Anolis sagrei: one gene and its partners. The protein of the gene in region 1 purifies or fractionates together with the protein of each later gene. This does not show direct contact. Links are inferred from orthologs where the notes say so. Each region holds a gene or a part of one and is shown on either strand. Other genes may lie near its edges. The genes, in order: UBR5, DYRK2, ATMIN and CEP78.

Evidence for each region.
Region 2: the proteins of UBR5 (region 1) and DYRK2 purify together in Homo sapiens (affinity purification with western blotting; 3 studies listed by BioGRID and IntAct, with this or other methods). This does not show direct contact. The link is inferred for Anolis sagrei from reciprocal best matches to the Homo sapiens genes UBR5 and DYRK2.
Region 3: the proteins of UBR5 (region 1) and ATMIN purify together in Homo sapiens (affinity purification with western blotting; 3 studies listed by BioGRID). This does not show direct contact. The link is inferred for Anolis sagrei from reciprocal best matches to the Homo sapiens genes UBR5 and ATMIN.
Region 4: the proteins of UBR5 (region 1) and CEP78 purify together in Homo sapiens (affinity purification with western blotting; 3 studies listed by BioGRID, with this or other methods). This does not show direct contact. The link is inferred for Anolis sagrei from reciprocal best matches to the Homo sapiens genes UBR5 and CEP78.

Annotation. Positions count from the first base shown.
Region 1 is NC_090024.1:30,051,245-30,058,943, reverse strand, and holds the start of UBR5 (E3 ubiquitin-protein ligase UBR5), read right to left. Parts: upstream 3,486-7,699; 5' UTR 3,208-3,485; coding exon 3,146-3,207; intron 1-3,145. UniProt on the Homo sapiens protein: E3 ubiquitin-protein ligase involved in different protein quality control pathways in the cytoplasm and nucleus. Mainly acts as a ubiquitin chain elongator that extends pre-ubiquitinated substrates.
Region 2 is NC_090025.1:142,756,772-142,764,801, forward strand, and holds the start of DYRK2 (dual specificity tyrosine-phosphorylation-regulated kinase 2), read left to right. Parts: upstream 1-4,580; 5' UTR 4,581-4,699; coding exon 4,700-4,751; intron 4,752-5,829; coding exon 5,830-5,996; intron 5,997-6,377; exon of another isoform or gene 6,378-6,456; coding exon of another isoform or gene 6,457-6,501; intron 6,502-8,030. UniProt on the Homo sapiens protein: Serine/threonine-protein kinase involved in the regulation of the mitotic cell cycle, cell proliferation, apoptosis, organization of the cytoskeleton and neurite outgrowth. Functions in part via its role in ubiquitin-dependent proteasomal protein degradation.
Region 3 is NC_090028.1:11,180,023-11,188,212, forward strand, and holds the start of ATMIN (ATM interactor), read right to left. Parts: upstream 3,461-8,190; 5' UTR 3,448-3,460; coding exon 3,184-3,447; intron 1-3,183. UniProt on the Homo sapiens protein: Transcription factor. Plays a crucial role in cell survival and RAD51 foci formation in response to methylating DNA damage. Involved in regulating the activity of ATM in the absence of DNA damage. May play a role in stabilizing ATM.
Region 4 is NC_090025.1:190,094,595-190,102,049, forward strand, and holds the start of CEP78 (centrosomal protein of 78 kDa), read right to left. Parts: upstream 3,108-7,455; 5' UTR 2,984-3,107; intron 1,928-2,983; 5' UTR 1,912-1,927; coding exon 1,659-1,911; intron 1-1,658. UniProt on the Homo sapiens protein: Centriole wall protein that localizes to mature centrioles and regulates centriole and cilia biogenesis. Involved in centrosome duplication: required for efficient PLK4 centrosomal localization and PLK4-induced overduplication of centrioles.

The DNA of each region.
Region 1 (7,699 bases):
TTTATTCAGCTGTGTGGAAAGGGCCTCAATTTATATGTGTGTAAGGAATTATTTCGTAGGATTTCTTTACCAGTTACTTGAGAATTTCAGTTAGCTGACAGCCTACTTTATGGGCTAAAAAGGTATTATTTTGTAGGATTTCTTTACCAGTTACTTGAGAGTTCTGGTTAACTGAGCATTTAATATATGTGTGTATGTATATGTACAATTATGCAGTTCCGCATTTTACAGGCGCGCAAGTACCCAGATGGAAATCCCCATCAGGAGGGAGCAGGGCTAAGCCTTCCCTGTTTCACCTTAGGAATTTCCAAAACACCTGGATGGCCGAAGTTTGCCTATACCTGATCTACCTATCTATGTCCACACACATATACAGAGAGAGATGGTTTGCCCATAAGAATTTCCAAAACACCTGGAGGGCCAAAGTTTGCCCATGCCAGATCTAGTATCCACCTATCTATCTCCATACACATATACAGAGAAGTATGGTTTGTCCATAGGAATTTCCCAAACACCTGGAGGGCCGAAGTTTGCCCATACCTGATCTAGTATCTATTCCCATATACATATACAGAAAGATATGGTTTGCCCATAGGAATTTCCAAAACACCTGGAGGGCTGAAGTTTGCCCATACCTGATCTAGTATATTCGCCATACACATATACAGAGAGATATGGTTTGTCCATAGGAATTTCCCAAACACCTGGAGGGCCGAAGTTTGCCCATACCTGATCTAGTATCTATCCCCATATACATATACAGAGAGATATGGTTTGCCCATAGGAATTTCCAAAACACCTGGAGAACCAAAGTTTGCCCTTAGGAATTTCCAAAACACCTGGAGGGCTGAAGTTGGCCCATACCTGATCTAGTATCTATCTCCATACGCATATATACAGAGAGATATGATTTGCCGATAGGAATGTCCAAAACACCTGGAAGGCTGAAGCTTGCCCATACCTGATCTAGTATCTATCTCCATATACATATACAGAAAAATATGGTTTGCCCATAGGGATTTCCCATGGCACCTGGAGGGCCGAAGTTTGCCAATACCTGATCTAGTATATATCGCCATACACATATACAGAGAGATACGGTTTCCCCATAAGAATTTCCAAAACACCTGGAGGACCAAAGTTGGCCCATACCTGATCTAGTATCTCTCCCCAAACATATATAAAGAAAGATATGGTTTGCCCATAGGAAATTCCTAAACACCTGGAGGGCCGAAGTTGGCCCATACCCGATCTGGTACTTATCTCCATACACATATTCAGAGAGATATAGTTTGCCCATAGAAATTTCCAAAACACCTGGAAGGCTGAAGTTGGCCCATTCCTGATGTAGTATCTATCCCTATACATATACAGAGAGATATGGTTTGCCCATAGGAATTTCCCAAACACCTGGAAGGCTGAAGTTGGCCCATATCTGATCTAGTATCTATCTCTATACACATATACAAAGACAGATGGGTTGCCCATAGAAATTTCCAAAGCACCTGGAAGGCCGAAGTTTGCCCATAGCACATCTAATATCCACCTATTTATTTTCATTTACAAATATACAGAGAAATATAGTTTGCCCATAGCAATTTCCAAAACACCTGGAGGACCGAAGTTTGCCCATACCTGATCTAGTATCTATCGCCATACACATATACAGAGAGATATGGTTTACCCATAGGAATTTCCCAAACATCTGGAGGGCCGAAGTTGGCCCATACCTGATCTAGTATCTATCGCCATACATATATACAGAGAGATATAGTTTGCTCATAGGAATTTCCAAAACACCTGAAGGGCTGAAGTTAACCCATACCTGATCTAGTATCTATCCCGACACATGTACAGAAATATATGGTTTGCCCATGTCCAAAACACCTGGAGGGCCGAAGTTTGCCCATACCTGATTTAGTATCTATTCCCATACACATATACAGAGAGATATGGTTTGCCCATAGGAATTTCCCAACACCTGGAAGGCTGCAGTTGGCCCATATCTGATCTAGTATCTATCACCATACACATATACAGAGAGATATGTGTCTCTATTATAGTTATGTGCATCTATTTCCATATACATATATACAGAGAGATATAGTTTGCCCATAGGAATTTCCCAAACACCTGGAAGGCCGAAGTTGGCCCATAGCAGATATAGTATCTATCCCCATACACATATACAGAGAGATATGTGTCTCTATTATAGATATGTGTCTCTATTTCCATATACATATAAACAGATAGATATAGTTTGCCCATAGGAATTTCCCAAACACCTAGAGGGCCGAAGTTGGCCCATACCTGATCTAGTATCTATCCCCATACACATATACAGAGAGATATGTGTCTCTATTATAGATATGTGTATCTATTTCCATATACATATATATACAGAGAGATATGGCTTGCCCTAGGAATTTCCAAAACACTTGGAGGGCCGAAGTTGGCCCATACCTGATCTAGTATCTATCCCCATACACATATACAGAGATATATGTCTCTATTATAGATATGTGTATCTATTTCCATATACATATATACAGAGAGATATAGTTTGCCCATAGGAATTTCCAAAACACTTGGAGGGCCGAAGTTTGCCCATACCAGATCAAGTATCTATCCTCTTACACATATACTTAAAGATATGGTTTTGCCCATAGGAAATTTCTAAACACCTGGAGGGCCGAAGTTAGCCCATACCTGATCTAGTATCTATCCCCAGACACATATACAGAGAGATATGTGTCTCTATTATAGTTATGTGCATCTATTTCCATATACATGTATACAGAGAGATATAGTTTGCCCATAGGAATTTCCCAAACACCTGGAGGGCCGAAGTTGCCCATAGCAGATCTAGTATCCACCTATCTCCATATACACATATACAGAGAGAGATGGTTTGCCCATAGGAATTTCCAAAACACCTGGAGGGCCAAAGTTTGCCCATACCAGATCTAGTATCTATCATCCCATATACATATAGAGAGATGGTTTCCTTCCCAGGCGGCCCCCTCCCTCCTCCCAAGCACACGGCGAAGCCCCTCCCCTTCCTCTCCCCCCCCTTTCTTTCCCGAGGTGATAAAGGGGGGGGGAGGGCGACCAGGCCTCCTCCCTCGTCTCCATGTTTCCTCACCGGTCATTGAGCTGGTCCTCGGTGCCCGGGAGCGGGTGCACCACGAAGTGGATCGAGGTCATGTTCCCCTCTCTCCCTCCTCCTTCACTCGAGGGAAGGCGGGCCGGGCGCACAAGGAGGAGGAAATGGGGTTGGCGGGGGGTGAGAGAGACAACTGGGCGAGAGAAAAGGCTCCTTCAGGGCCTCCCTCAGGGCCTCGTGACGGGGGAGAAAAACACACGAGAGAGAGAAACGGAGAGCGCGGCGGGGAACGGGCCCGCAGCTCAGCACCCGACTCTCACAAGATCCGCCATCTTAACTTCCCTCCTTGCGCCGGGGAGAGAGAGAGAGGAATGGGCGGGGTTACGTCTCCCTCGCCCTCCGCGCGCCCCGCAGCCAATGGCGTTCTGGCTTCTCACTGGAAAGGCGGCAACGGCGATGTGAACCCAATCCGGATTGGTTCGGGCTCGACGCGATGGCGTCATCCGGAAAAGGGAGGGGGAGGGAGACTTTTTTTTCCTCTTTCGGCTGAGGTGCGCGCGCCGCCTCAGAGTGTAGGGCGCGGAGGCGACGGAGGGAGGATGTCCCTCCTTCCTTCCTTCTTTCTTTCCCTCTTTCTTTCCTTCCTTCCTTCCTTTTCTCTCCGTTTGTTTGAGGCGCCGCCCCTTCTGAGGAGGCGCTTCACTTTTCTGCCTTCGCCCTCTGCGTTGCTAGGACGAAAAGAAACACTTTGGGAAATAGAAAGCAAAAAATAAGAATTAAGAGCCTGAGGAAAGTGAAGGACGCCATTTTCCAACGTTTTTCAGGCCTTCTGTGAGGCCTTTGATGTCCTATTTTTCCTGAATATTGGATTATTATTATTTTTTACTTTTCCACTTTCTATTTGTATTTATTTCCAAAACTAGTACTATTCATTCAAGAATCTATCATTGGATTCTCTGGATTATATATTTACTTTAATTGTATATTTGGTCTGTCATAGAAAACGGGTCTGTGTGTGAGTGTGTTGCCATCACCCCTGCTTTGTGGGCCTAAAGCCTTAATGCAGTGTTTTGCAACCTGGGGGTCGAGACCCCTGGGGGGGCTGCGAGAGGGTGTCCAAGGGGTCGCTGAAGACCATCAGAAAACACAGTATTTTTTCTTGGTCATCTGGATTACGTGTGGAAAGTTAGGTCTAATTCTATTGTTGGTGGGGTTCAGAATGCTCTTTGATTGTAGGTGAACTATAAATCCTAGCAACTACAACTCCCAAATGCCAAGGTCTATTTCCCCCAAACTCCACTAGTGTTCACACTTGGACATGTTGAGTATTTGTGCCAAATTTGATCCTGATCATCATTGTTTGAGTCCACAGATGTAGATAAACTACGACTCCCAAACTCAAGATCCATGCCCACCAAACCCTGCTAGTGTTTTATGTTGCTCATGGGAGTCCTGTGTGCCAAGATTGGTTCAGTTCCATCATTGGTGGAGATCAGAATGCTCTTTCATTGTAGGTGAACTATAAATCCCAGCAAGTACAACTCTCAAATGATAAAACCAGTCCCTCCCCCCAACCCCACTAGTATTCAAATTTGGGCATATTGGGTATTTGTGCCAAATTTGGTCCAGTGAACGAAAATACATCCTGCATATCAGATATTTACATTACAATTCATAACTAGCAAAATTACATTTATGAAGTAACAATGAAAATAATATTATGGTTGGGGGTCACCACAATATGAGGAACTGTATCAAGGGGTCACGGCATTAGGAAGGTTGAGAACCACTGCCTTATTGCCTGATATACAAATACAAAGGACGATATTGTACATCTATATTAGGCATGGGCAAAGTTGGGCCACCAGATGTTTTGTACTTCAACTCCCTCTTCTTCAGGAAGAGGCCTGAGGCTGTTAGGAATTGTGGGAGTTGAAGTCCAAAGCACCTGGAGGGTCCAACTTTGCCCATTCCTGGTCTATACAGATATTTATTTATTTACGACATTTATATGCAGCCCCTCGCATCCCAAAGGGGACTCGGAGCGGCTTACAAGGCATATATACATACCATATATTATTAGCATAGTACAGTATCAGTTTTAAATATTGTTATATTGTAGTATATCAATTATACCATATTATTAGTAATGGGCTGAGAATGGCGGTCAATAAGTGCATCTAATAAATAATTATAATATATTATTAGTAGTATTATATTGCATTACATTATAATATTATAAATATTATATGTATATACAATATATATTATTAGAATAGCACAGGGGACAAGGTGGAACTGTCCCTTGCCCCCCCCCCCTTCAATCCGGGCCAGAGTGGCAGTTGGTGCTGGGGGGAGGGGTCTCCAGCTGATGGCATATGCGGGAGACGATGGTGCTGTCCAGGCCTGTAGCGAGGGGGGTGGGTGGGTTAGGGGTTCTCCCCCCCCCCAAAATGTTTCAGATTTTTTAAAAAAAACTGGTTTACTCATGAATTTTAACTGGTTAACCAAATCCCCATGCTAAGTCTATGAGATACAAAAGATTAAGAGTCCCTCCAGAACTTCAAGCACTATCTCAAGCAAATATTGACAATTTATTCACACTGTCATTACTTGCAGGAATAGCCGATGTAGCGAAGCAACCAAGTTGGGGGGGGGGGGGGGAGGGCGTGTTGAATGCTCTCATTAAGGAGGCCAGATTTGGTGGAGGTGGTTGACAGGGGTGGAGCTGCAGGCTGCTCTGCCCCCTGCTGTGCTCTTTGGTTCAGTGTGAGCTAGGAGGCAGGTTTCAACCCGCCCCCCGAAAATTTCGACCCCTCCCGAATTTTCTTTCTGGCTACGGCCCTGGTGCTGTCCCCTGGTCTCCCCTCTCTTCAATCCGACCCAGAGCAGCAGTTGGTGCTGGGGGAGGGATGTCCTGCATTCTTGACTCATGATTACTAAACTTAACTCTTGTCTTTTAGGTGTCCCAAAAACCATTTTTCTCTTAACCGTATATACTCAAGTATAAGCCAGCCTGAATATAAGCTGGGGCATGTAATTTTGCTGCAAAAAACTGGGAAGACATCTTGACTCGAGCATAACACGAGGGTGGGAAATGCAGCAACTACTGGTAAATTTCAAAATAATAATCGATACCAATAAAATTACATTAATTGAGGCATCAGTAGGTTAAATATTTTTGAATATCTGCATAAAACAAAGATGTTGGTTGTTCATTCATTCAGTCGTTTCCGACTTCGTGACTTCATGGACCAGTCCACGCCAGAGCTCCCTGTTGGTCGTCAGCACCCCCAGCTTCTTCAAGGTCAATCCAGTCAGTTCAAGGATACCATCCATCCATCTTGCCCTTGGTTGGCCCCTCTTCCTTTTTCCTTCCATTTTCCCCAGCATCATACTCTGATAAAACCGTCCAACTCTTGATTAATCCATTATTCTAATCTTCAATGTAAGTATGCTTATGTATCCCAACTTCTGCCAACCTAGCAGTGATACAGTATGTCATGCCTTGTATATTTTTACAAAGTGTCTTGGAATTGCCTCCAAATTTCTTAATAAACTAGAATGATGATCTTGGTAATAATTTAAATTTGTCTCTTTTCTCTTTTTTTAGATTTAATGTTTCAAACGCTTGCAAGGAACCTCAAGTGTACAAACATGCTATTTCTGATGCTCGCTGTGTATTTGATACGACTGTAAGTGAAGTGTTGCATCTATAAATACATGCTAAATAAATACAGATAATCCCAAGAGATTCAACTCTAAATATAACAAAGTCCTTTTAATTTGTAATGTTAATTTTGAGGTTCATTTGACATCTAATCAACATTCTTGCATAAAGAGGCATTATGCATAAGAACGAAATAAGTAACATATGTGTCCTTATATGGGCCCCTTGGTGGCACAGTGGGTTAAACCGCTGAGCTGCTGAACTTGCTGACTGAAAGGTTGGTGGTTCAAATCTGGGGAACAGGGTGAGCTACCACTGTTAGCCCTCACTTCTGCCAGCCTTGCAGTTTGAAAACATGCAAATGTTAGTATATCAATAGGTACTGCTCCAGCAGGAAGGTAATGGTGTTCCATGCAGTCATGCTGGCCACATGACCTTAGACAACGCCAGCACTTCGGGTTAGAAATGGAGATGAGCACCAGCTCCCAGAGTCGGACACGACTGGACTTAATGTCAGGGGAAAACCAATCTTCCAGTATTCATAAAGAAAGTAAAATAATAAATGTAATAAAATAAAAATAGAGTAAAATAATGGAAATGTAATAATAACAGTAATAATAGAATAAAACAATAAATGTAATAATAACTCAGTGGTTCTCAATCTGTAGATCCCCTGGTGTTTTGGTCTACAACTCCCTGAAATCCCAGCCATTAGGATTTCTGGGAGTTGGAAGTCCAAAACATCTGGGGACCCATAGGTTGAGAACCAGTGTAATAACTAATAGAGTAAAATAATAAATGTAATAACAATAATGAAGTAAAATAATAAATATAATATTAGAGTAAAACAATGTAAACATAATAATAATTGGAGTAAAATAATAAATGTAATAATAAATGTAATAATAAAGTAATGTAAATGT
Region 2 (8,030 bases), on another chromosome or scaffold:
CTATTTCTTTAGGGGTTCCTTATTCTGCATAGTTACCAGTCTTGCCTCTTACTTATCTAGACTGAGACAGCTGCTTTTTCCTTCTTTCTTCACCAGCACATCCTTATCTCCCTCTCCCTTCAGCAATCCTATAAATGGACCACTCCTATCTGCCACATATACAGTAAGTTTAAAAGAAACATGCTCACTCAATAGTTAGCATTTGGCAAATTGCTGGAGTAAGTGTTGTACTGCTTACACTTTTATTCATTTCCACAATGGGAATATTTGTGTTTTATTAAGAGTATGTTTTGTTAAAGGAACAAGATCTCCCTCTTTACATTTCTTTTGCTGTTGCCATGTGCCTTCAAGTCATGTCTGACCTAGGGCTACCCTAAGGCAAAACTATCACAGGGCTTTCTTGACACAATTTGTCCAGAAGAGCTTTGCCATTGTTTTCCTCCGAGGCCAAGAGTGTGTGACATACCTAATGTGGGTTTTTGTGGTTTATAGGAGATTCACGTCTTGCTCTCCAGAGTCATAAGGTGCATCTACAGCAGGAATGGGCAAACTTTAGCCCTCCAGGTGTTTTGGGATTCAACTCCCACAATTCCTGAGGGCCGAAATTTGCACCTACCTGATCTACAGTGTAGAATGAATGCAATTTCATGTGGTGGCACAATGATCAGGACTGCTAACGGAAAGGTTGGTGGTTTGAATCCAGGGAGCAGGGTGAGCTCCTGACTGTCAGCTCCAGCTCCTCATGCCGGGACATGAGAGAAACTTCCCACAGGATGGTAAAACATCCTGACGTCCCCTGGGCAACATACTTGCAGACAGCAAATTCTCTCACACCAGAAGTGATTTGCAGTTTCTCAAAAATGAAAAAAAAACCTTTAACTGCCGTGGCTCAATGCTATGGATTCACAGAAGATGGCAGTTTTCAAGGGCTTTAGACATCTCTTCCAAAGAGCACTTGATGGGAGAGATCAAACTGCATCAAACTGTAATCCGCAGCATTCCATAGCATTACCTCCAGGAAGTTAAAGTGGTGTCAAACTGTCTTCATATTACAGTTTAGAGAGATATACCTTATGACTCTGGAGAACAGGGCTCCAGTCTCAAATCATATTGGAAACCCACCTGGAGACATTGGGCAAGCCACACTCTTGACTTCTGAGGAGGGTCGCAAGAAACCCCTTCTGGACAACTCTTGCCAAGAAGACATTGGGCATGTGGATGTCCCACACCCCAACATTCAAACCACTACACTATGCTGCCTCCAAAGCTTTCCTTTGCCCTCTTTCGAAAGGGAAAGCACAAACCCAAAGAAGGACAAGAGATAACTTATCATCCTCCCTGTTCCCTGCTTATCTCACACTAAAGTTTTTTTTCTCTTTCTCTCTAGAGTTTCAGAAGGAAGTTCTTCCTTCTGCCTTTCCAGTGCATTGTTTATAAACAACTCTCCGCCCACGAAGAGAGGGAGGGATTCCTTCAAGTAGCAGGCAAAGAAGGGGGGTGAGAGGTTTTCTCCTTTGGGCTCTGGAGAAGGAACACAGAGCAAGATTTCCCCATAGAGAAAGACACTTCTACAGCCTTAGAAGAGGTCACTTAGGTTGGGCAATGGGCATCCTCTCAGTGTGGCTTCAAAAATAACCTGCTAAGAGTCCACCTTGCATCTCAGTTACAAGATTATGATAGAATAATAATGATAGAATGAAGCTTCCCTTGATTTTTCCAGGGTCTATCCTAGGCATGGGCAAACTTAGGCCCTCTGGGTGTTTTGGACTTAAGCGGCTGAGGGGGAAAAGAAAGGGGCCTGAGGCTGTTAGGAATGGTGGGAGTTGAAGTCCAAAACACCCAGAGGGCCCAAGTTGGCCCATGCCTGGTCTAGCCTTTTTTCTCCAGAGGAAAATCCAGTCCATCTTTCCCCACTCTGTCCTAGACCTGACCTTCATCAGAGATGTTTCATCTTTAGAGATGTGCTCACCAAGGCTTCCTCACCAGATGTTCACCAATGCTTCCTCTTCATCCTGGAAAGAAGTGATGGGTGGAGTGCCACAGGGTTCCCTCCTGGGCCCGGTCCTGTTCAACATCTTTATTAATGACTTGGATTTTTTTTTTGTCGTGTCAGGAGCGACTTGAGAAACTGCAAGTTGCTTCTGGTGTGAGAGAATAGACCATCTGCAAGGACGTTGCCCAGGGGACGCCCAGATGTTTTTGATGTTTTATCATCCTTGTAGGAGGCTTCTCTCATGTCCCCGCATGAGGAGCTGGAGCTGATAGAGGGAGCTCCTCTGCGCTTTCCCCTGATTCGAACATGCGACCTGTTGGTCTTCAGTCCTGTCGGCACAGGGGTTTAACCCACTGCGCCACTGGGGGCTCCTAATGACTTAGATGAAGGGTTGGAAGTCATGATCATCAAGTTTGCAGACGACACCAAATTGGGAGAGAGAGCCAATACTCCAGAAGACAGGAGCGGAATTCACAAGGATCTTAATAGATTAGAGAGATGGGCCAAAACTAACAAAATGAAGTTCAACAGTGACAAATGCAAAATACTCCACTTAGACAGAAAAAAATGAAATGCAAAGAATGGAGGATGTGTGACTCGATAGCAGTATGTGTGAAAAAGATATTGGAGTCCTCATGGGCAACAAGTTAAACATGAGCCAACAATGTCATGTGGTGGCAAAAAAAAAAAAAAGGCCAATGAGATTTTGGCCTGTATAAATAGGAATCTAGTGTCTGTATCCAAGGAAGTAATGCTACCCCTCTATTCTGCCTTGGCTAGATCACACCTGGAATACTGTGTCCAATTCTGGGCACTGCAATAGAAGGGAGATGTTGACAATCTGGAATGTGTCCAGAGGAGGGTGACTAAAATGATCATGAGTCTGGAGAACAAACCCTATGAGGAGCGGCTTAAAGAGTTGGGCATGTTTAGCCTGCAGAAGATAAGGCTGAGAGGAGACATGATAGCCATGTATAAATATGTGAGGGGAAGTCATAGGGAGGAGGGAGCAAGCTTGTTTTCAGCTGCCCTGGAGACTAGGATGCAGAAACATGGCTTCAAACTACAGAAAAGAACATTCCACTGAACATTAGGGAGAACTGTGAGAGCTGTCGAAGGCTTTCATGGCTGGAATCACTAGGTTCTTGTGGGTTTTTTCGGGCTATATGGCCATGTTCTAGAGGCATTTCTCCTGACGTTTCGCCTGCATCTATAGCAAGCATCCTCTGAGGATGCTTGCCATAGATGCAGGCGAAACGTCAGGAGAAATGCCTCTAGAACATGGCCATATAGCCCGAAAAAACCCACAAGAACCAACTGTGAGAGCTGTTCAGCAGTGGAACTCTCTGCCTTGGAGTGTGGTGGAGGCTCCTTCTTTGGAGGCTTTTAAGCAGAGACTGGATGGCCATCTGTCGGGGGTGCTTTGAATGCGATTTTCCTGCTTCTAGGCAAGGGGTTGGACTGGATGGCCCATGAGGTCTCTCCCAACTCTATGATTCTATGATGTGGTAACCCGCCTCGAGCCACGAGGAGATTTGGGCAGGAAATACTACTATTGTTAGGATGCTGATTGCGTCTCCTCGCCCCCTCCTTCTATGGCCTCGCGCCCCATTTGGAAGAGCGGCTCCTTTTCTCTTTCAGGACGTGCCCCACGTTATTTGGCCTCCCTACAATCTGAAATCTTTTGTTTCTCGTCGACGGCCGCTCTCTCTTCTCACAAAGTGAAGGCGCCGCGGGGGGGAAAGGAGAAAGGGCCTGAGGCGAGCACCCTCTTCCCCCTCTTTTGCGTGGCCCGGGGCGAGCAGTAGCCACTGCCTACGTGTGTGGAGGAGGAGGAGAAGGAGGAGGAGGAAGGGAAGAGGGAGGGGCTGCACATCGCCGCCTCCCTCGCCTTTCAATTCAATCCAGGGCCGGGGAGGGGCTGCCACTCTGTCAGATCCAAGCCAGTGAGTGAGGAGAGAGTTCGGGGAAAGTGTGAGGGGCGGGGCCAAGGGCGAGGGGCGGGGCTTGGCTTGCTAGCCCCTCTCCTTGGGCTCGAGGCGGTCGCTCCGCCTGTGTTTGCCTCTTTGAAGGGGAGAGTGTGTCGCGCCGGGGAGGGGCTGCCATTCTGTCAGATCCGAGCCAGGGAGTGAGAGGAGAGGGTTCGGGGAAAGTGTGAGGGGCGGGGCTAAGGGCGAGGGGGCGGGGCTTAACTTGGCTGCCCCCCTCCCTCCTTGGGCTCGAGGCGGTCGCTCCGCCTGTGTTTGTCTCTCTGAAGGGGAGGAGAACGAGAAGGAAGGCAAGAGGGAGGGAGGGAGGTGGAAGAAGGGAGCCCCTCATGCTGCCGCCCCCCTCCCCTTCCTCCCGCGAAGGCACCGGGGGACCCTGGACGCTGCCCGGGTGATGCCTTTGGTGCCTCCGGAGCAAGGAGGAGAGGAGGAGGAGGAGGAGGAGGAGGAGAAGGGGAAGGAGGAGAGAGCGGAGGCCGAGGCCGGGCGGGGCGCGCGGGGCTGCTTCTGCCCGGCGGCGGGCCCGGGCTCTTGGGGGACGGATGCCGCGGAGGGGCCGGGGCCTGGGGGCTCGCGAGGCAACGCCGGCGCCCAGCGCGGAGGAGAGGAGCGCCAGGAGGAAGAGAAGGAGGCGGAGGAGGAGGAGGCGCAGGCGGAGCAGCAGCAGCAGCAGCAGCAGCCCTGAGATGCGCTCCCCAGTCCTTCCCCACCAGCGGCCATGTTAACCACCAGGAAACCTGCTGCCGGGGCTGGAGGAGCCGCTGCTGCTGGTGAGATTGAGCGAGGGGTTGGACAGGGCAGCGGGGCCCAGCCCCCAGTGGGAAAGGCCCTTGGAGGAAGGCCCGGCGCCGCAGGTCCAAGGGCAACCCTACAGCCCAGAAGATCCAGGCAGAAAATCCCACAATATCTGAGCGTGGGCTTAGGGCCCTTCCACGCAGCCCTATATCCCAGAAGATCAAGGCGGAAGATCTGAATGTGGACTTAGGGCCCTTCCACACAGCCCCAGAAGATCAAGGCAGAAAATGCCACAATATCTGAGTGCGGACTCAGGGCCCTTCCACACAGCCCTATATCCCAGAAGATCAAGGCAGAAGATCTGAATGTGGACTTAGGGCCCTTCCACACAGCCCCAGAATATCAAGGCAGAACATCCCACAATATCTGCTTTGAACTGAGTCCACATTCAGATAATATGGGATTTATGCCTTGATCTTCTGGGAGATAGGGCTGTGTGGAAGGGCCCTCAGATAACCCAGTTCAAAGCAGATATTGTGGCATTTTCTGCCTTGTTCTTCTGGGCTATAGGGCTGTGTGGAAGGGCCCTAAGTCCACACTCCGATATTGTGGCATTTTCTGCCTTGATCTTCTGGGCTATAGGGCTGTGTGGAAGGGCTCCTAGAGGACAGCGACGCTTCTATAGTCGGCGTTGCAGGGTCATCTCTTCCCCCCTTGAGGGAAACGGGGACAGGCAAAAACCCACTTGGAGTGGGGTTCCTGGGCTGGCCTTGGATCGGGCTCTGCGTGAAGACCCTTCCCTGCCATCGAGGCCCCAGACCAAGCGGAGAAAGGAGGGGGGAGGGAGGAGGGGACTGCACGCCACTCAAATCCCCCCTGGCTTCTCCCTTCTGCCTCTGCGGCGTGTGGGTTGACCGTGGATGAAGGAAGGTTGACCCGAGGGGAAGGGATCGCCCCTCCCTCCCCTCGCGAGCACCCCATCCCCCACCCCTCCGCAATAGAGGAGGGGGCGGGGGGGCTCCCTCTGTTGTGTTTCCCCCCCACTTCCTCTTCCTGGACCCTCTCAGGCTCTCCTCTTTAGCCTCTCTCTTCTGGCTTCTTCTCCCTCCTCAGGCAGCAGGGCAGTAGCAGGAGGAGGAGGAGGAGGGGAGGGCGCCCTCCAGTGCCAGCCTTCGCCAGGCCTCGGCGCCGGAGGGGCCTCCCGGGCCGGACCGGGCACCGCTGGACCGCCTTCGCCCATCGCTTTGCCGCCGCTCAAGCCCAGCAGCGCTGCCCACACGGTGAGGAAGAGCGAGGCCGGGATTTAAGGGTGGGGGCTTTGGAGGGATGGGTATATATATATGATCTGCTCAGTGTCAACCTTGGACTCTCCCTCGCTCTATCTCTCTCTCCCTCCCCTCCATCCCCATCCCCAGAAGATTTGAATGCCAGCTTCTCATAAGCCCCCCCCAACTGCCTCCCCCAATTGCTTCTGCTCTCCCCCCCCCCGTGCCAACCTTGGACCCTCCTCCCTCCCATCCATCCCCAGAAGACTTGAATGCCAGCCACTCATAAGCCCCCCCCCCTCCACTGCCTCCCCCAATTGCTTCTGCTCCTCCTTCTCCTCCTTTCCTGGGTATTAATAGCAAGCAATCTGCAAGGTACAGTCAGGCTGCCAGCCAGCCTGTCTGAGTGGGAGGTGGGCATGAGCTTGCTTTCCAGGGCATGGAGGAGCCCCATTAATTCCCCGCCACCGCCGGCATGTCTCAACACGTCCTAGTCCTCTTCCCTGTCTGGTTTCAACAGGTACTTGTGATTTCGTTGTAGAGGGGCAGAAGGGTAAGAGGGGAGAAGCAAGGTCTGGAGGCGCTCTGGAGACTGATGAACGCTCTGGGCCACTTTGGCAAGGAGAGATGGAGCCCTCCAGTCAGGTCACCTGTGTGAGCCATGCAAGGGTGTTGCATCGCTCACATCACAACTGGAGGAGGCTTTTGCATCTTTCTCTCTGAGGCTCATTCAAGATTTCAGTGCTGGGTGATGGATTTGAAACAAAGGAAAATAAAAAGGGGCCTGCTCAGGAGGTTGACGAGGTGAGAAAGAACGGTCCTTGTGGCTGGACTGAAAAGCCACTGCTGGTTTGGTCATCTTTCTGGTGGCTGTCATTTTCTCAACAAGTTTTTGGTACAGTCTAGTCAATGCAGTGTGGTTATAAGAGTGTTTCTGGAAGATGTAGTTAGTCGTTTTATGACAAAGGATTCACCTCTCAGAACTAAAAGAAAAGTTCTTATTTTGGGTTGCTGTGAATTTTACGGGATGTATGGCCATGTTCCAGAAGCATTCTCTCCTGATGTTTCACCCACATTGATGGCAGGCATCCTCAGAGGTTGAGGGATCTGTTGGAAACAAGGCAACTGGGGTTTATATATCTGTTGAATGTCCAGGGTGGGAGAAAGAACTCTTGTCTGCTTGAGGCAAGTGTGAATGTTGGAATTGGCCACCTTGATTAGCTTTGAATGGCCTTGCAGCTTCAAAGTCTGGCAAGTTGCTGTCGGGGGGGGGGGATTCTTTGTTGGGAGACGTTAGCTGGCCTTGATTGATTCTTGTCTGGATTTCCCTGCTTTTTGGGTGTTGCTCTTTCTTTACTGTCCTGATTTTAGACTAGTTGTTAGACCACCCCAGACCTGATGATCCATTTCCAGTGGAACAGCCAGAGACAGTAAAGTAGGCTGGAGTGTGACACTGCCCTTGTAAACACCATTCACTAGGGAAACAGGTGTTGGCATTATTTGCAAGGCTGTGGTTTCTCACATAATCTTCAAGTTGCAGCTAATCTGCTACAAGGGAGGGAACTTCTCAAGCATGATGATCTATTTATGGAAGGTGGAGAAGGGCAGAATATATTTCTAGGTGGGTAGAAATAAGGTCTGTTGAGGTTTTATGCATTGATTCTAGCTGTTGCATCAAACCTGAAAAATATGTTGGACTGTAAAAGAGATTTTAGAATCTAAATTATGATGCCTTCTGATGCAAAGACAGCTCCTCGGTCTAGAATCTCCCTTCTCTGATGGATTTGTTGCTGGCAGTGTGGCACTCTGTATATATTTAGGGGCATTCAACTTTCTAGCTTACATGTTTTGAAACTGATCCCTGGAACTAAAAATCTGTTCCAGAGCCAAGCTTTGCAATGCTGTGGCTCGAATTAGGGTTGTGTGGAGAGGGAGATACTGTCTGCATTTGGATTTCAGTATTGGGTGATCTTCCAGAGTTGCAACAACATTGGAATGATATCACCTGCAAAAGTTAATCATTTTGATGCACACCCATTCCATTAAGAA
Region 3 (8,190 bases), on another chromosome or scaffold:
CTCCAAACAAAGGATTCCCCCAAAATACAATCAGCCAAGTTTTGAAGCTGCAAGGCTTGACAAAGCAATTTCGGATTGAAACTATACAGCAAGAATCAATCAGGGACAGCTAACACCTCTAAATGAAGGATTCTCCCAAAATGCAATCAGGCAAGTTTTGAAACTGCAAGGCCATTAAATGCTAATCAAGGTGGCCAATTACAACATTCACACTTGCCTCCAACAGACAATTCTCCCACCCTGAACATTATTTCACAGACATATAAACCCCACTTGCCTAGTTTCCAACAGACCTCACAGACCAATGGAACAGCTTCGGATTATGATTCTGGCTGGCATGATTTTAATAACTTGTTTTAAATTGTGTTGTTTTAATGTTTGGTTTTAATAAAATGTTAATTGTATTGTATGTTTATGTTTTGGCCTCAAATTGCTGAATAATTTGTAATGCCGCTATGAGTCCCCTTCAGGGTAGAGAAGAGCGGGATATAAATGAAGTTAAATAAGATCTTGGAGTCCTCATGGACAACAAGTTAAACATGAGCCAACAATGTTATGTGGCGACAAAAAAAGCCAATGGGAGTTTGGCCTGCATCAATAGGAGCATAGTGTCTAGATCTAGGGAAGTCATGCTCCTCAAGCTCTATTCTGCCTTGGTTAGACCACACCTGGAATATTGTGTCAAATTCTGGGCACCACAATTGAAGAGAGATATTGACAAGCAGGAATGTGTCCAGAGGAGAGTGACTAAAATGATCAAGGGTCTGGAGAACAACCCCTATGAGGAGCGGCTTAAGGTGCTGGGCATGTTTAGCCTGAAGAAGAGAAGGCTGAGAGGAGATATGATAGCCATATATAAATATGTGAGAGGAAGCCACAGGGAGGAGGGAGCAAGCTTTTTTTCTGCTTCCCTGGAGACTAGGACACAATGGAACAATGGCTTCAAACTACAAGAAAGGAGATTCCATCTGAACATGAGGAAGAACTTCCTGACTGTGAGAGCCGTTCAGCAGTGGAACTCTCTGTCCCAGAGTGTGGTGGGGGTTCCTTCTTTGGAAGCTTTTAAACAGGCTGGATGGTCATCTGTCAGGGGTGATTTGAATCCAATATTCCTGCTTCTTGGCAGAATGGGGTGGACTGGATGGCCCATGAGGTCTCTTCCAACTCTGTGATTCTATGATTCTATGAAGCCGCTGGGTGAGATCATCCGGAGTTTTGATTTGGATTATGGCACTACTAGAATATGGGATCCAATAAGTTTTTGCCAACATAATGTGAACCTTAACAGGAAAAAAGTATTTTCTTATAACATTTAAATGACTTGTGTGGGTCTGGTGAACATAACTGCCTTTAAAGTGATCAAGGGTCTGGAGAACAAGCCCTATGAGGAGCGGCTTAAAGAGCTGGGCATGTTTAGCCTAAAGAAGAGAAGGCTGAGAGGAGACATGATGAGGGCCATGGATAAATATGTGAGGGGAAGTCATAGGGAGGAGGGAGGAAGCTTGTTTTCTGCTGCTCTGGAGACTAGGATGCAATGACACTCAACTGGTGCTGAAGATGGAAGGCCGACCGGACTCTGTACCCGATTGTTTCCATCAGTGCCTCGAGGCTGTTACTGGATGGCTGTGTGCCAGCAGGTTGAGGGTGAATCCAGCAAAGACGGAGATCCTATGGCTGGGTCGACCGGGCAGTGGGGACATCCAACTGCCTACCCTGGGTGGTGAGGCGCTACGCCCGTTATCATTGGTAAAGAGTCTGGGAGTCCTTTTGGACCCTCTGCTGACGATGGAGGCCCAGGTCTCCGCCGTTAGCAGAACCGCCTTTTCTCATCTGCGGCAGGCTAGACGGCTGGCTCTTTACCTGTCCAGGGACGACCTAGCTATGGTGATCCAGGCCACGGTTATCTCAAGACTGGACTACTGTAACGCCCTCTACATTGGCCTTTCTCTGTCGGTGATCCGGAAGCTCAAGTTGGTACAAAATGCAGCTGCTCGGCTTCTTGCGGGAATTCCAATGAGATGCCACATAACCACAATCTTACTGCAGCTGCATTGGTTACCAATTGAGCACCGGATCACTTTCAAAGTGATGGTACTCACCTTTAAGGCCTTGCATGGTCTGAGGCCGATGTACCTGATGGACCGCCTCACCCCCTACCAACCCCAGAGATCCCTCCGTTCTGAGGACCAAGATTTGTTGGAAATTCCCAGTGTCAAGACCTTGCGTCTAATGGCAACCAGACGCAGAGCCTTCACAGCAGTGGCACCATCACTCTGGAATACTCTGCCACCTGAAGTCCGTGCCTTGCGGGACTTACCAGCTTTCCGCAGGGCATGTAAGACATACCTGTTTCGACAGGCTTTTAATGTTTGATACTGCTGTTTTTAAATTGTTTTAAATTGCTTTTAACTTTTGTTAGATTTTAGCCATTCTTGTAAGCCGCTCTGAACCCCAGGGGAGTGGGGGCATAGAAGTCCGAATAATAAATAAATAAATGGAACTATGGCTTCAAACTACAAGCGAGGAGATTCCATCTGAACAGGAGGAAGAACTTCCTGATTGTGAGAGCCGATCAGCTGTGGAACTCTCTGTCTTGGAATGTGGTGGAGGCTCCTCTTTTGGAGGCTTTAAACAGAGGCTGGATGGCTATCTGTCGGAGTGGGATTTTCCTGCTTCTTGGCGGAATGGGGTTGGATTGGATGGCCCATTTCTATGATTCTATGAGAGAGTGTGGAGTCCCCGGTGGCGCAATGGGTTAAAGCACTGAGCTGCTGAGCTTATTGATCGAAAGGTCGCAGGTTCGATTCCAGGGAGCGGTGTGAGCTTCTGCTGTCAGCCCTAGCTTCTGCCAACCTAGGAGTTCGAAAACATGCAAATGTGAGTAGATCAATAGGTACCGCTCTGGCGGGAAGGTAACAGCGCTCCATGCAGTCATGCCGGCCACATGACCTTGGAGGTGTCTACGGACAACGCTGGCTCTTCGGCTTAGAAATGGAGATGAGCACCACACCGCAGAGTCAGACATGACTGGACTTAATGTCAGGGGACTACCTTTACCTTTACCTTACGAGAGGGTGAAAACTCGAGGGCAGGAGGAGGAGAACCACCGGCAGGCAGGCAGGCAGGTCCTGAGGGGAGGCCTGGCGGGGAGTGCTGAGGAGAAGGCCCGCAGGCCGGGCTCACCTGAGGAGGAGGCACCAGGCGGTGGGCCTTGCTGAGGTGCATGCTCAGCGCCGGCGGGTTGGGCAGCACCTTCCCGCAGCCGGGCACCGAGCAGGGGATGTGGCTCCGCACCGCCCGGGAGAGCTCCGCCACCGAGGGCCTCACCAGCTCCCACGGCGAGGTGGAGGCAGGCGAGGGGGATGATGGCGAGGAAAGAAGCCCTCCGCGGCGAGGAGGCCGCCCGAGCCCCACGCCCCTCCGCGACAGGCACCGCGCCGCCGCCATCTTGCGCCCGGAAGTGCCCGGAACCAAGCGTCGCAGCGCTTCCGGTGCGAGCCGGCGGCAGGGACAACCCATCATGCATATTCATGAGCCGGCGCCTTCCTTAGGGCACGCCCCCTGGCGGTCTCCACTAGCAAGACTAGCTTCCTCTTTTGCCCAGGACAAAGCCACGCCCAGATGTGTTGGAATAACATTCCTAAAGTATCAATATAAGCACATCAAAAATACTGATATTCTGATATTGTGCTGTGCTAATAATATATATTGTATACACATATAATATTGATAATGTAATGTAATGCAATATAATACCAATAATTCCGGCAAGGAAGACTCCAGCAAGACATGGAGCGAGAGTTGCCAGGTGTACAAGCTGGGTTTAGAAAAGGCAGAGGAACGAGAGACCAGATTGCCAATATCCCGATGCTGGATAATGGAGAAAGGCAGGGAGTTTCAGAAAAACATCTATTTCTGCTTCATTGACTAAAGCCTTTGACTGTGTGGATCATAATAAACTGTGGCAAGTTCTTGGTGGGATGGGCATACCAAGCCACCTTGTCTCTCCTGAGGAATCTGTACAAGGACCAAGTAACAACAGTCAGAACTGACTACGGAACAGACTGGTTCAAGATTGGGAAAGGCGTACGGCAGGGTTGTATACTCTCCCCTGACCTATTCAACTTGTATGCAGAACACATCATGCGATGTGCGGGGCTTGATGAATGCAAAGCTGGGGTAAAAATTGCTGGAAGAAACATCAACAACCTCATATGCAGATGACACCACTCTGATGGCCGAAAGCGAGGAGGAGCTGAGGAGCCTTCTAATCAAGGTGAAAGAAGAAAGCGCAAAAGCTGGGTTGCAGCTAAACATAAAAAAAACCCAAGATTATGGCAACAAGAATGATTGACAACTGGAAAATAGAGGGAGAAAACGTGGAGGCCGTGACAGACTTTGTATTTCTAGGCGCAAAGATGACTGCAGATGCAGACTGTGGCCAGGAAATCAGAAGATGCTTCCTTCTTGGAAGGAGAGCAATGTCCAATCTCGATAAAATAGTAAAGAGCAGAGACATCACACTGGCAATAAAGATCCGCAAAGTCAAAGCAATGGTATTCCCTGTAGTAACCTACGGATGTGAGAGCTGGACCTTAGGGAAGGCTGAGCGAAGGAAGAGAGATGCTTTTGAGCTGTGGTGCTGGAGGAAAGTTCTGAGAGTGCCTTGGACTGTGAGAAGATCCAACCACTCCATCCTCCAGGAAATAAAGCCCGACTGCTCACTGGAGGGAAGGATACTAGAGACAAAGTTGAAGTACTTTGGCCACATCATGAGGAGACAGCAAAGCCTAGAGAAGACAATTATGCTGGGGAAAGTGGAAGGTAAAAGGAAAAGGGGCCGACCAAGGGCAAGATGGATGGATGCCATCCTTGAAGTGAGTGGACTGACCTGGGGGTGGTGACGGCCGACAGGGAGCTCTGGCGTGGGCTGGTCCATGAGGTCACGAAGAGTTGGAGACAAATGAACGAATGAACAACAATAATATATATTGTATACACATATAATATTGATAATGTAATGTAATGCAATATAATACCAATAATGATAAAAGTAAAGTAATAAAGGGAGTAAAAAAAATAAATGTAATAATAATAATAATAGAGTAAAATAATGGCAGGGACCTAACAGAAGCTGAAATGATCAAAAGAAGGTGGCGAGACTATACAGAAGGTCTGTATAGGAAGGATAATAATATCGAGGATAGTTCTGACGGTGTGGTGAGTGAATTAGAACCAGACATCCTGAGGAGTGAGGTTGAATGGGCCTTAAGAAGCATTGCTAACAACAAGGCAGCAGGAGATGACGGGATCCCAGCTGAACTGTTTACAATCTTGGAAGAAGATGCTGTCAAAGTGATGCATGCCATATGCCAGCAAATATGGAAAACACAAGAAAGGCCATCAGACTGGAAAAAATCAACTTATATCCTCATACCAAAAAGGGGAATGCTAAAGACTGCTCAAACTTCCATACAGTGGCCCTTATTTCTCATGCCAGTAAAGGAATGCTCAAGATCCTGCAAGGAAGACTCCAGCAAGACATGGAGAGAGAGTTGCCAGATGGACAAGCTGGGTTTAGAAAAGAGAAGAGGAACAAGAAACCAGATTGCCAATATCCGCTGGATAATGGAGAAAGGCAGGGACTTTCAGAAAAATCTATTTCTGTTCTATTGACAAATCTAAAGCCTTTGACTGTGTGGATCATAATAAATTGTGGCAAGTTCTTGGTGGGATGGGCATACCAAATCTCTCCTCTCTGGGAGAGGAGCCGATTTTTTGTTGTTACTAAATTCCAATCATGAGACAAACGCTGGGTTCAATGACACTTGCATACCTGTTCAAGGACATCTTATTTTCCATGCATTCTTTGGAAGAATATCAACATGAAATAATGATGACGCAGAATAAACTTTACAAACAAAAAAATTATTTATATTTACAGATGAGAAGATATATACAAGTTGATCAATTTTCTGAAAAGTCAAATGTATACATGACTAAAAACCGCAATGCAGTAATGAAAAATAGGCAGTCACATTGCAATGTCTTGCTGTTATAATTTTAAAGTACATATAATGTAATAAATAGATAAAATGAACACCTTTCACTAAAATCCAAGTCTATTTACGTGGCTGAATAAAATCCCCTTTTGTCCATTATTTTTGTATGGTTAAATATAACACCAGGGAAATTTATTTATTTATTGGGTTGCTATGAGTTTTCTGGACTGTATGGCCATGTTCCAGAAGCATTCTCTCCTGGTGTTTCGCCCACATCTATGGTAAGCATCCTCAGAGGTTGTGAGGCCTGTTGGAAACTAGGCAAGGGAGGTTTATATATCTGTGGAATCTGGTAGAAAGAATTCTTGTCTGTTGAAGGCAAGTATGAACATTGCAAGAGTTCTTTCTCCCACACTGGGCATTCCATTTGCATAGTTTCTAACAGATTAGACAACCTCTGAGGATGCCTGCTAAGGATGTGGATGAAATGTCAGGAGAGAATGCTTCTGAACATGGCCATTAGCCCGGAAAACTCACAGCAACCTAGTGATTCGAGCCATGAAAGCCTCCGACAACACAATTATAGGTTGCTGTGAGTTTTCCAGGCTGTCTGGCCATATTCCAGTAGCATTACTCTACTGTGACATGGCCACAAAGCCCAGAAAACTCACAGCAACCCAGTGATTCCAGCCTTGAAAGCCTTCGACAACACAATTATAGGTTGCTGTGAGTTTTCCAGGCTGTCTGGTCATATTCCAGTAGCATTCTCTCCTGATGTTTCACCCACATCTATGTCATTTATTTATGTCATGTTTAGCCCATCTTTCTCAACCGAGGGGACTCAAGGCAGCATACAGCTCCGGCAAGAATTCAAAGCCAGTAAAAACCAACAGTAAAAACATATCCCACAGTTAAAACGTTTTAATATTTTACTCTCCAAAATATATAACCTTTCCAACCTTTAGGTATCAAATTTGTATTAATTAAAGGCATGCATCTCTTCAAAGTGCACGGGACACTACAGCGATGCCAACATATTCATTCTTTGCACTGTGTGCTGAATATGGGTACGTATTTTTGTCCAAAAATAGTCGCTTTTTCAGACGCCGATAACATCTCAGCGGTAAAAATATTATCCCAGATTCAGCACAATTATATAACCCACACTCTGAATTCTGCATGTCATATTTATTTAATTTGATGCAAAACTGCAGACTTAACTGTGGGAAAAAAAGATTTATAATGGTTAGAGATAGTCAAGAATGCCCATAAAAAAAAGAAGAGGGAAAGGAAAACAACAATTTGAAGAAAAAGAAATACGTAATGCTATTTGGACAAGCTGGAATGTTGCAAAATTAGAAATAAGTGATTCCTGAAAAGGTTAAATATAATGGAATAATGTTAATGAAACATTTTATTGTGACTTCAAACATCTTTTGGTATATGCAAATTGGGTTTTTTAAAAAACATAAAACAATCAGAAAGCTCAAATCGCAAGAAATGCTTTAAGGCCTCTTCCCATTCTTATGGGGTTATTCTTTATTATTGTAAAATCATGATGTTCCCGGTGGCACAATGGGTTAAACCCTTGAGTTGGCAGGACGGAAGTCCGACAGGTTGGAGGTTCGAAACTGGGCACAGTGCGGATGAGCTCCCTCTGCCAGCTCCAGCTCCCATGTGGGGACCTGAGAGAAGCCTCTCACAAGGATGGTAAAACATAAAAACACCCTGGCCTCCTCTGGGCAATGTCCTTGCAGATAGTCAATTCTCTCACACCAGAAGCCACTTGCAGTTTCTCAAGTCACTCCTGACACGGAAAAATAAATGATATGTGTAGACAAATTTTGAAATTCTCCTGAGTGTGAAGATCTATTCCCTGCCTTGCAAAGAGGTTCTTGAAAAAAAATTAAATTAGGATTTTTGCATATGATATGGAGGAGGGGGAAGCAACTGGGGACACTACTACTATTATCTAGATTGAAACAGTTTTCCCTAAAACATAGTAACCAATAATTCTAAGTAAGAATAGTTTGCATGGATTTTGCCTTAACGAGACTGTTTTATTGTTTTAATGATTGTTTTATTGCTTGTGGATGTACTGTTTTTAACTTGATTTATGTCTAATTGTAGTGTATAATTGTAATTGTTTGTACTGGCATTGAATTTTGCCATTACTTATGTGTAAACC
Region 4 (7,455 bases), on another chromosome or scaffold:
AATGTAATGCAATATAATAATATATTACAATTATATATTTATATTATATGCAATATTACTAATAATCTATATAAATAAAAATGTAATGTTTATTTGTGGGATTAACATAACTCAAAAACCACTGGATGAATTGCCGCCAAATTTGGACCCAATACACCTACTAACCCAAGGAGTGACCATCACTCAAAAAATGGTTTTGTCATTTGGGAGTTGTAGTTGCTGGGATTTATAATCAACCTACAATCAAAGAGCATTCTAAACTCTACCAATGATGAAACTGAACCCAACGTGGCACATAGGACTCCCATGACCAACATAAAACACTAGAAGGGTTTGGTGGGCATTGACCTTGAGTTTGGGAGTTGTAGTTCACCTACATCCAGAGAGCACTATGGACTCAAACAATGATGGATCTGGGCCAAACTTGGCATGAATACTCAATATGCACAAATATGAACACAGATGGGCTTTGGGGAAATAGACCTTGACATTTGGGAGTTGTAGTTACTGGGAGTTATAGTTCACCTACAATCAATGAGCATTCTGAACCCCACAAATGACAGAATTTGGGCAAACTTCCCACACAGAACCTCCATGATCAACAGAAAATACTTAAAGTCATCCAGTCCAACTCCCTTCACCTGGGCAAGAAAACATAATCAAAGCCCGTAAGAAGTCAATTTTTAAAAAAAAAACACATTACAACGCATGCACAAAAACACATATATACATATACACACACACATATATACACATGCACAATACATATACACAGACTGGGCCACAGCAATGCGTGGCAGGGGATGCCTAGTATTACAATATAATGGTATAGTACAATATAGTAATATTTAATACTGATATTGTACCATGCTAATAATATACTATATTGTATGTATATATATATATCTTGTAAGCTGCTCTAAGTCCCCTTCGGGGTGAGAAGGGTGGCATATAAATGTTGCAAATAAATAAAATAAAATAAAATTTTTACCGTGGCAACCCATCATGCCATTTCATCTTTGCAATCAGATTCATTTTCAGCTGGATCGATTGGCTGTTTGAAGCAAGTTTGGATGATGCAATTAACCAGCTTGATGAGCATTGAGTAGCCTTGCAGTTGCAAAGCCTGGTCGTTGTTGCTTCAAACAGACAAGGATTCTATCTCTCATCTAGGACATTCCACAGACATATACCCCACTTGCCTCATTTCCAACAGACCTCTGAAGATTTTTTTTCATGTCAGAAGTGACTTGAGAAACTGCAAGTCACTTCTGGTGTGAGAGAATTGGCTGTCTGCAAGGACGTTGTCCAGAGGATGCCTGGATGTTTTGATGTTTTACCATCTTTGAGGGACGCTTCTCTCATGTCCCCGCATGGGGAGCTGGAGCTGACAGAGGGAGTTCATTCCTACTCTTCCCTGATTTAAACCTCCAACCTGTCCGTCTTCCCTGCTGCCGGCACAAGGGTTTAACCCACTGCAACACCAGGGGTTCATACTTCTGAAGATGCCAACAACAAATGCAGGCCAAACATAAGGAGAGAATGCTACTGAAACGTGGCCCTACAGCCTGGAAAACTCACAGTAACCCAGTGATTTGGCCATGAAAGCCTTCGACAACAAAGATAGCATGATGCTTTGCCATTGAAAGAGTCCCTACCTGGGTCTGCATGTCCCTGATGGTGCAAGCTCTTGATGGCGATCGAAGTCAAGGTCTTGTTGTGCCTGAGCGCAGCCAGGAGAGGCAACCAGTCTGCACCTTTGATACGGTCTGCGTTTATATCAATCACGCCTTCAGGCTTTTTGGCCTGCACGGACACGAGGGGAGCGCAGCCTTGAACTGCACACAGGTGCTCATAATGGGAGTAAAAGTCCAGGCTGCACTGCCTCCTTATTTGGACTGATTCGATCATTTCTGGAGAGTCAACACTAAAAAGGAGGAAAACAAACACAAATATATCATTAATGTCATTTTAACTACTACTACTACACACATATAATAAGTTTGAATAGGTTGCTGTACGTTTTTCGGGATGTTATGACCATGTTCCAGAAGCATTCTCTCCTAACATTTTGCCTGAATCTATGTTTGAGGCAACATTCACACTTGCCTCAAACAGACAAAGGTTCTTTCTCCCACCCTGGACATTATTCCACAGATATATAAACCCAATTTTCCTAGTTTCCCAACAAACCTCACAACCTCTGAAGATGCCTGCGATGGATGTGGGCGAAATGTCAGGAGAGAATGCTGCTGGAACATGGCCAAACAGCCCAGAAAACTCACAGCAACCCAGTGATTCCAGGCATGACATCCTTAGACAATACAATAAGGTTGAATTCTTATCCTCTCTCCTCAAAGCTTTAAATTAAATTAAATTAATTAAAATGAATAGATAAAGCCTTTAAATGCATAGAGTAATAACATAAAACCATTGCAAACATATATATTAAAAGAATCATAGAATCAAAGAGTTGGAAGAGACCTCATGGGCCATCCAGTCCAACCCCCTGCCAAGAAGCAAGAACATTGCATTCAAATCACCCCTGACAGATGGCCATCCAGCCTCTGCTTAAAAGCTTCCAAAGAAGGAGCCTCCACCACACTCCGGGGCAGAGAGTTCCACTGCTGAACGGCTCTCACAGTCAGGAAGTTCTTCCTCATGTTCAGATGGAATCTCCTTTCTTGTAGTTTGAAGCCATTGTTCCTTGTCCTAGTCTCCAGGGAAGCAGTAAACAAGCTTGCTCCCTCCTCCCTGTGGCTTCCTCTCACATATTTATACATGGCTATCATATCCCCTCTCAGCCTTCTCTTCTTCAGGCTAAACATGCCCAGCTCCTTTAGCCGCTCCTCATAGGGCTTGTTCTCCAGACCTTTTATCATTTTAGTCACTCTCCTCTGGACACATTCCAAAGAGATAGGCATTTAAACCACGCTGAAGCCATTCAAAGCCAATACAATGCTACTCCTATTTGGTTACTTACAAGCAGGAGGCCAAAACATCCAAGGCTGGCTTAGGCTCCTCCCCCTCGCGCGTGTGGTAACCGTTGCCTTGGTTCCCCAACTGCCCTTTTCCTACTCCCACCCTCCCACGTGACGCGGAGAAGAGGCTCTGATTGGAAGAGAGGGAGAGGAAGGGGGCGGGACCACCAAAACACGCCCCTTTCCTCTCTACAGACACTTTCATTCTTGCTCTTTTCCTCACACATAACCCCGCCCCTTTTTGTAGTCCTCCCACGTGATTCATAAGCGAAGCTTCTGATTGGTCGGTCCGTACAAACGCGGCCCTTTTCTTCCCCCTCCCATTCCCTTGTTTCCTCAGACATAACTCCACCCCCTTGCCGCTACCGTCGTCACGTGATGCGTTGAAAGGTGCCACATGATTGGCCATCCCGTAAAACCACGCCCCCTTTGAATCTAACGCTCCTCCCCTTATTTTGCCATTCTTAGTTAATTTAAATAGATGGCGGGAAAGCTTGCATTTCACAAATTCCTTATTATAAAGGGATATATATTTGAATATATAATATATAAGAATATATAATATATAAGAAAGTAGGGAAGCCAAACATTCTATATTTGGGGCTGAGGACTTTTCACAGAGACAAGAACCATTCTTATTTATTTTATTTATAATATTCATAATATTTTGGCTTTCCTACTATATATATGCGTGTGTGTGTATATATTAAAGTAGGGATTCCAAATATGCTATGTTTTGGGCTGAGGACTTTTCATAGAAACAGGAAAAAATCTTATTTATTTTATCTATTATTATTATTATTATTATTATTATTAACTTTATTTGTACCCCGCTAGCATCTCCCGAGGGACTCGATGCGGCTTACACAGGCCGAAGCCTCAGAACACAATACAGTAAAAACATAACACAACAATAAACAAAGCAAATCAAAATAGTTAAGCAGAATAACAACAGTGACAATACATCAGGATACTTTAAAACTGGGCCGGCCAGAGCAATGGGGTACAGGGTTAAAAGTGCTGAAATGGCAGGAGGCACGTAGGGTTAAAATAGTCTGGTGTGCAGCAATATTAATTGTACTAAAGTGCTTCTAGGACTTGGGATGGGGAATTCCTAATCTGAGATTATAATATTTTTATAATATTATTTATAATATTGTGTGTGTGTATGTATGTATATGTATGTGTGTGTGTGTGTGTGTGTGTATATATATATATATATATATATATATATATATATGGGGACTTTTCACAGAGACAAGAACCATTCTTATTTATTTTATTTATAATATTATTTATAATATTTTGACTTTCCTACTATATATATTTGTGTGTGTGTATTAAAGTAGGGATGTCAAATATTCTATATTTTGGGCTGAGGACTTGTCACAGAGACAGGAAAAATTCTTATTTATTTTATTTATAGTTATAATTATAGAGAGAGAGAGAGAAAAAGTAGGAAAGCCAAAAATTCTATATTTTGGGCTGATGACTTTTCAGAAACAGGAATAATTCTTATTTATTTTATTTATAACATATTATTTAACACATCAAATCACCTCTCAAAGAAAGATTCCCCCAGGCACTTCCAAGACATTAAATGCTAATGAAGGTGGTCAATTGAAACATTCACACCTAGCTCCAGCAGACAAAAGTCCTTTGTCCCACCCTGGTCATTCCACAGATATATAATCCCATTTTCCTACTTCCAACAGACCTCACTACCTCTGAGGATGCTTGCCAGAGATGCAGGCGAAACGTCAGGAGAAAATGCCTCTAGAACATGGCCATATAGCCTGGAAAACCTACAACAACCCAAACATTCTATATTATGGGCTGAGGACTTTTCACAGAGACAGGAAAAATTCTTATTTATTTTATTTATAGCATATTATTTAATATTTACTATAATTAATAAGCTATATTTATTTGCGGCGCCGCAATAGGTTAACTCAGGCATGGGCGAACTTGAGCCCTCCAGGTGTTTTGGACTTCAACTCCCACAATTCCTGCTAGGTTGGTAGGGAAGCTAGTGCTGACAGAGGGGAGCTTCTCTCATGTCTCTGCATGAGGAGCTGGAACTGACAAAGTGAGCTCACTCAAGCTCTTCCTATATTCGACCTCTGATCTGTCAGTCTTCAGTCCTGCCAGCACAAGGGTTTAATCCATTGCGCCACCAAACGCATCATTGCCCAAACACGAATCAAGGAACATGAAAGACACTGCAGACTGATTCAAATAGAGGAGTCAACCACAGCAGAGCGCCTGATGAACCAACCTGGACACAGCATCTTATTTGAGAACTCAGAAATGCTGGACCACTCTCACACCACCATGTCACAGAGAAGCCATTGAAATCCACAAGCATGTGGACAATTTCAACAGAAAGGAGGAAACCATGAAAATGAAAAAAAATCTGGCTAGCACTATTTAAAAAATCCTCTAGAATTAGGACAGTAAATAAAGCACAACACTCAAAAAGCAGGGGAATTCTAGAAAAGAATCAATCAGGGCAAGTTTTTTTTCATGTCAGGAGCAACTTGAGAAACTGCAAGTCGCTTCTGGTGTAAGAAAATTGGCCATCTGCAAGGACTTTGCCTAGGGGGACACCCGGATTTTTACGATCCTTGTGAGAGGCTCCTCTCATGTCCCCACATAGAGAGCTGGAGCTGACAGAGGGAGCTCATCCATGCTCTCTCTGGATTCGAACCTGTAATCTGGCAGATGGTATTTGTGGCACAAGTTCCAATGAATCATCTGAGCAACCGTGTTATGCCTCTGCTTGTAGTCTGTCTGCGCAATCTTCTTGCAGCAGCTGAGAATGTGATCTATTGTTTCATCTGCTTCCTTGCAGAGTCTACATTTGGGATCTGTTGTCGACTTCAATTCTGGCTTTGATGGCATTGGTTCGAATGGCTTGTTCTTGGGCTTCCAGAATCAGGCCCTTCTTTGTCTCCTTTTTCAAAGTTCCATTTGTGAGCCACAGCCATGTTTTTTCTTTGTCAATTTGGCTCTCAATTTTTGCCAGAAACTGTCCATGGAGTTTTGTTTTCTTCCCTCCCTTCTCTTTTCCTTTCCTTTCATGGAGTTATTATTATTATTATTATTAGGAATATTTATATCCCACAAAGACCCACAGTATTTTTTTTAAAAAAATCAGTTATACAGATATTTAAATATACAGATATTTAAATAGAATTAAAACATACAATTAAAATGACTGGAAGCACTGAAAAACTTGTTCTTTGCAGATAAATCGAGACCCATTTGTGATTTTGCTGAAGTGGTGTCAAAACTGCATTAATTCTATAGCGTAGAAACACTCAATGTCTTCAAAAGCAGGCCACAAATTTCAAACATAAAAACAGAAGAAATCTATACTAATTTCATGTAAAATCTCTTTTTCTGATTATCCAAAAATACCCATTTGAAACAAAGGGAACATAACAGTTGAAACACTTCCACGGTTTATTGAAATATGGCTGCGAGAATAATTTTTTTCCATAGTTTTTTGGGTTTTACTCATGATTATTGGGATAAAATGTATTATTACGAGGCGGACATCTCTCCACTGTGCTTTTACATGAAAGGGGGGGGGGAGAATGTCAAGTAAACATATTGAGTCTTTTCTGTACAAATACACAATATTTACAACACACATTTACAACATGGATGTATACATTATTTTTTATATATATATAAAAAGAAGTATCTTTGAAATATCACTTGGCACCACACTATACAACAGGCATGGGCCAACTTGGGCCTTCCAGGTGTTTTGGACTACAACTCCCACAATTCCTAACAGCTGGTAGGCTGTTAGGAATTGTGGGAGTTGTAGTCCAAAACACCTGGAGGGCCCAAGTTGGCCCATGCCTGTTCTATAGTCTTTCACTATAACAAATGAGTGGTTATAGCATAAGCAACAGATATAACATTTAGGGACAAAACTAAATCATTTTCTTAGTCCGGACTAGTTTTCCTCAATGGGTCAACTTCAGGAGAAATTAACCCAAAGGATTCCAGCCACATTGAGACGACTTCACTTACTTTACTATGATTCTGGAGTCTTTATTATGCTGACCACTGGATGGAATATATTCTTAATCCATTTAGGGGAAAAAGGCATTATCATGCATACTTGAATGGATATGTTGTTAAATACCACGACGCACAACTAGCATGCCGGATTAATTACACCTGGCATAGCAAAGCCAAGGACTAAAGTAGGTAAGAGTGGATTTCAGTTGCTTCCACAGACTTGGCTTCACAAGGACGATAATATTATTGTTATTTTAATTCTTCTGGGGCTTTTTTGGCTCCACTGTGTCTTTTACATGTTTTGTATTTTACTATGTTATTTCTTGAATTTTCTGGGGACTATTCTTACTCTATAATAGTCAGCAAGCTACGCTCAGTAACCTTTCCTCATTTTCTGGCCACTGAGCAAGAACGTCTCATAGCAGTTTTGTAA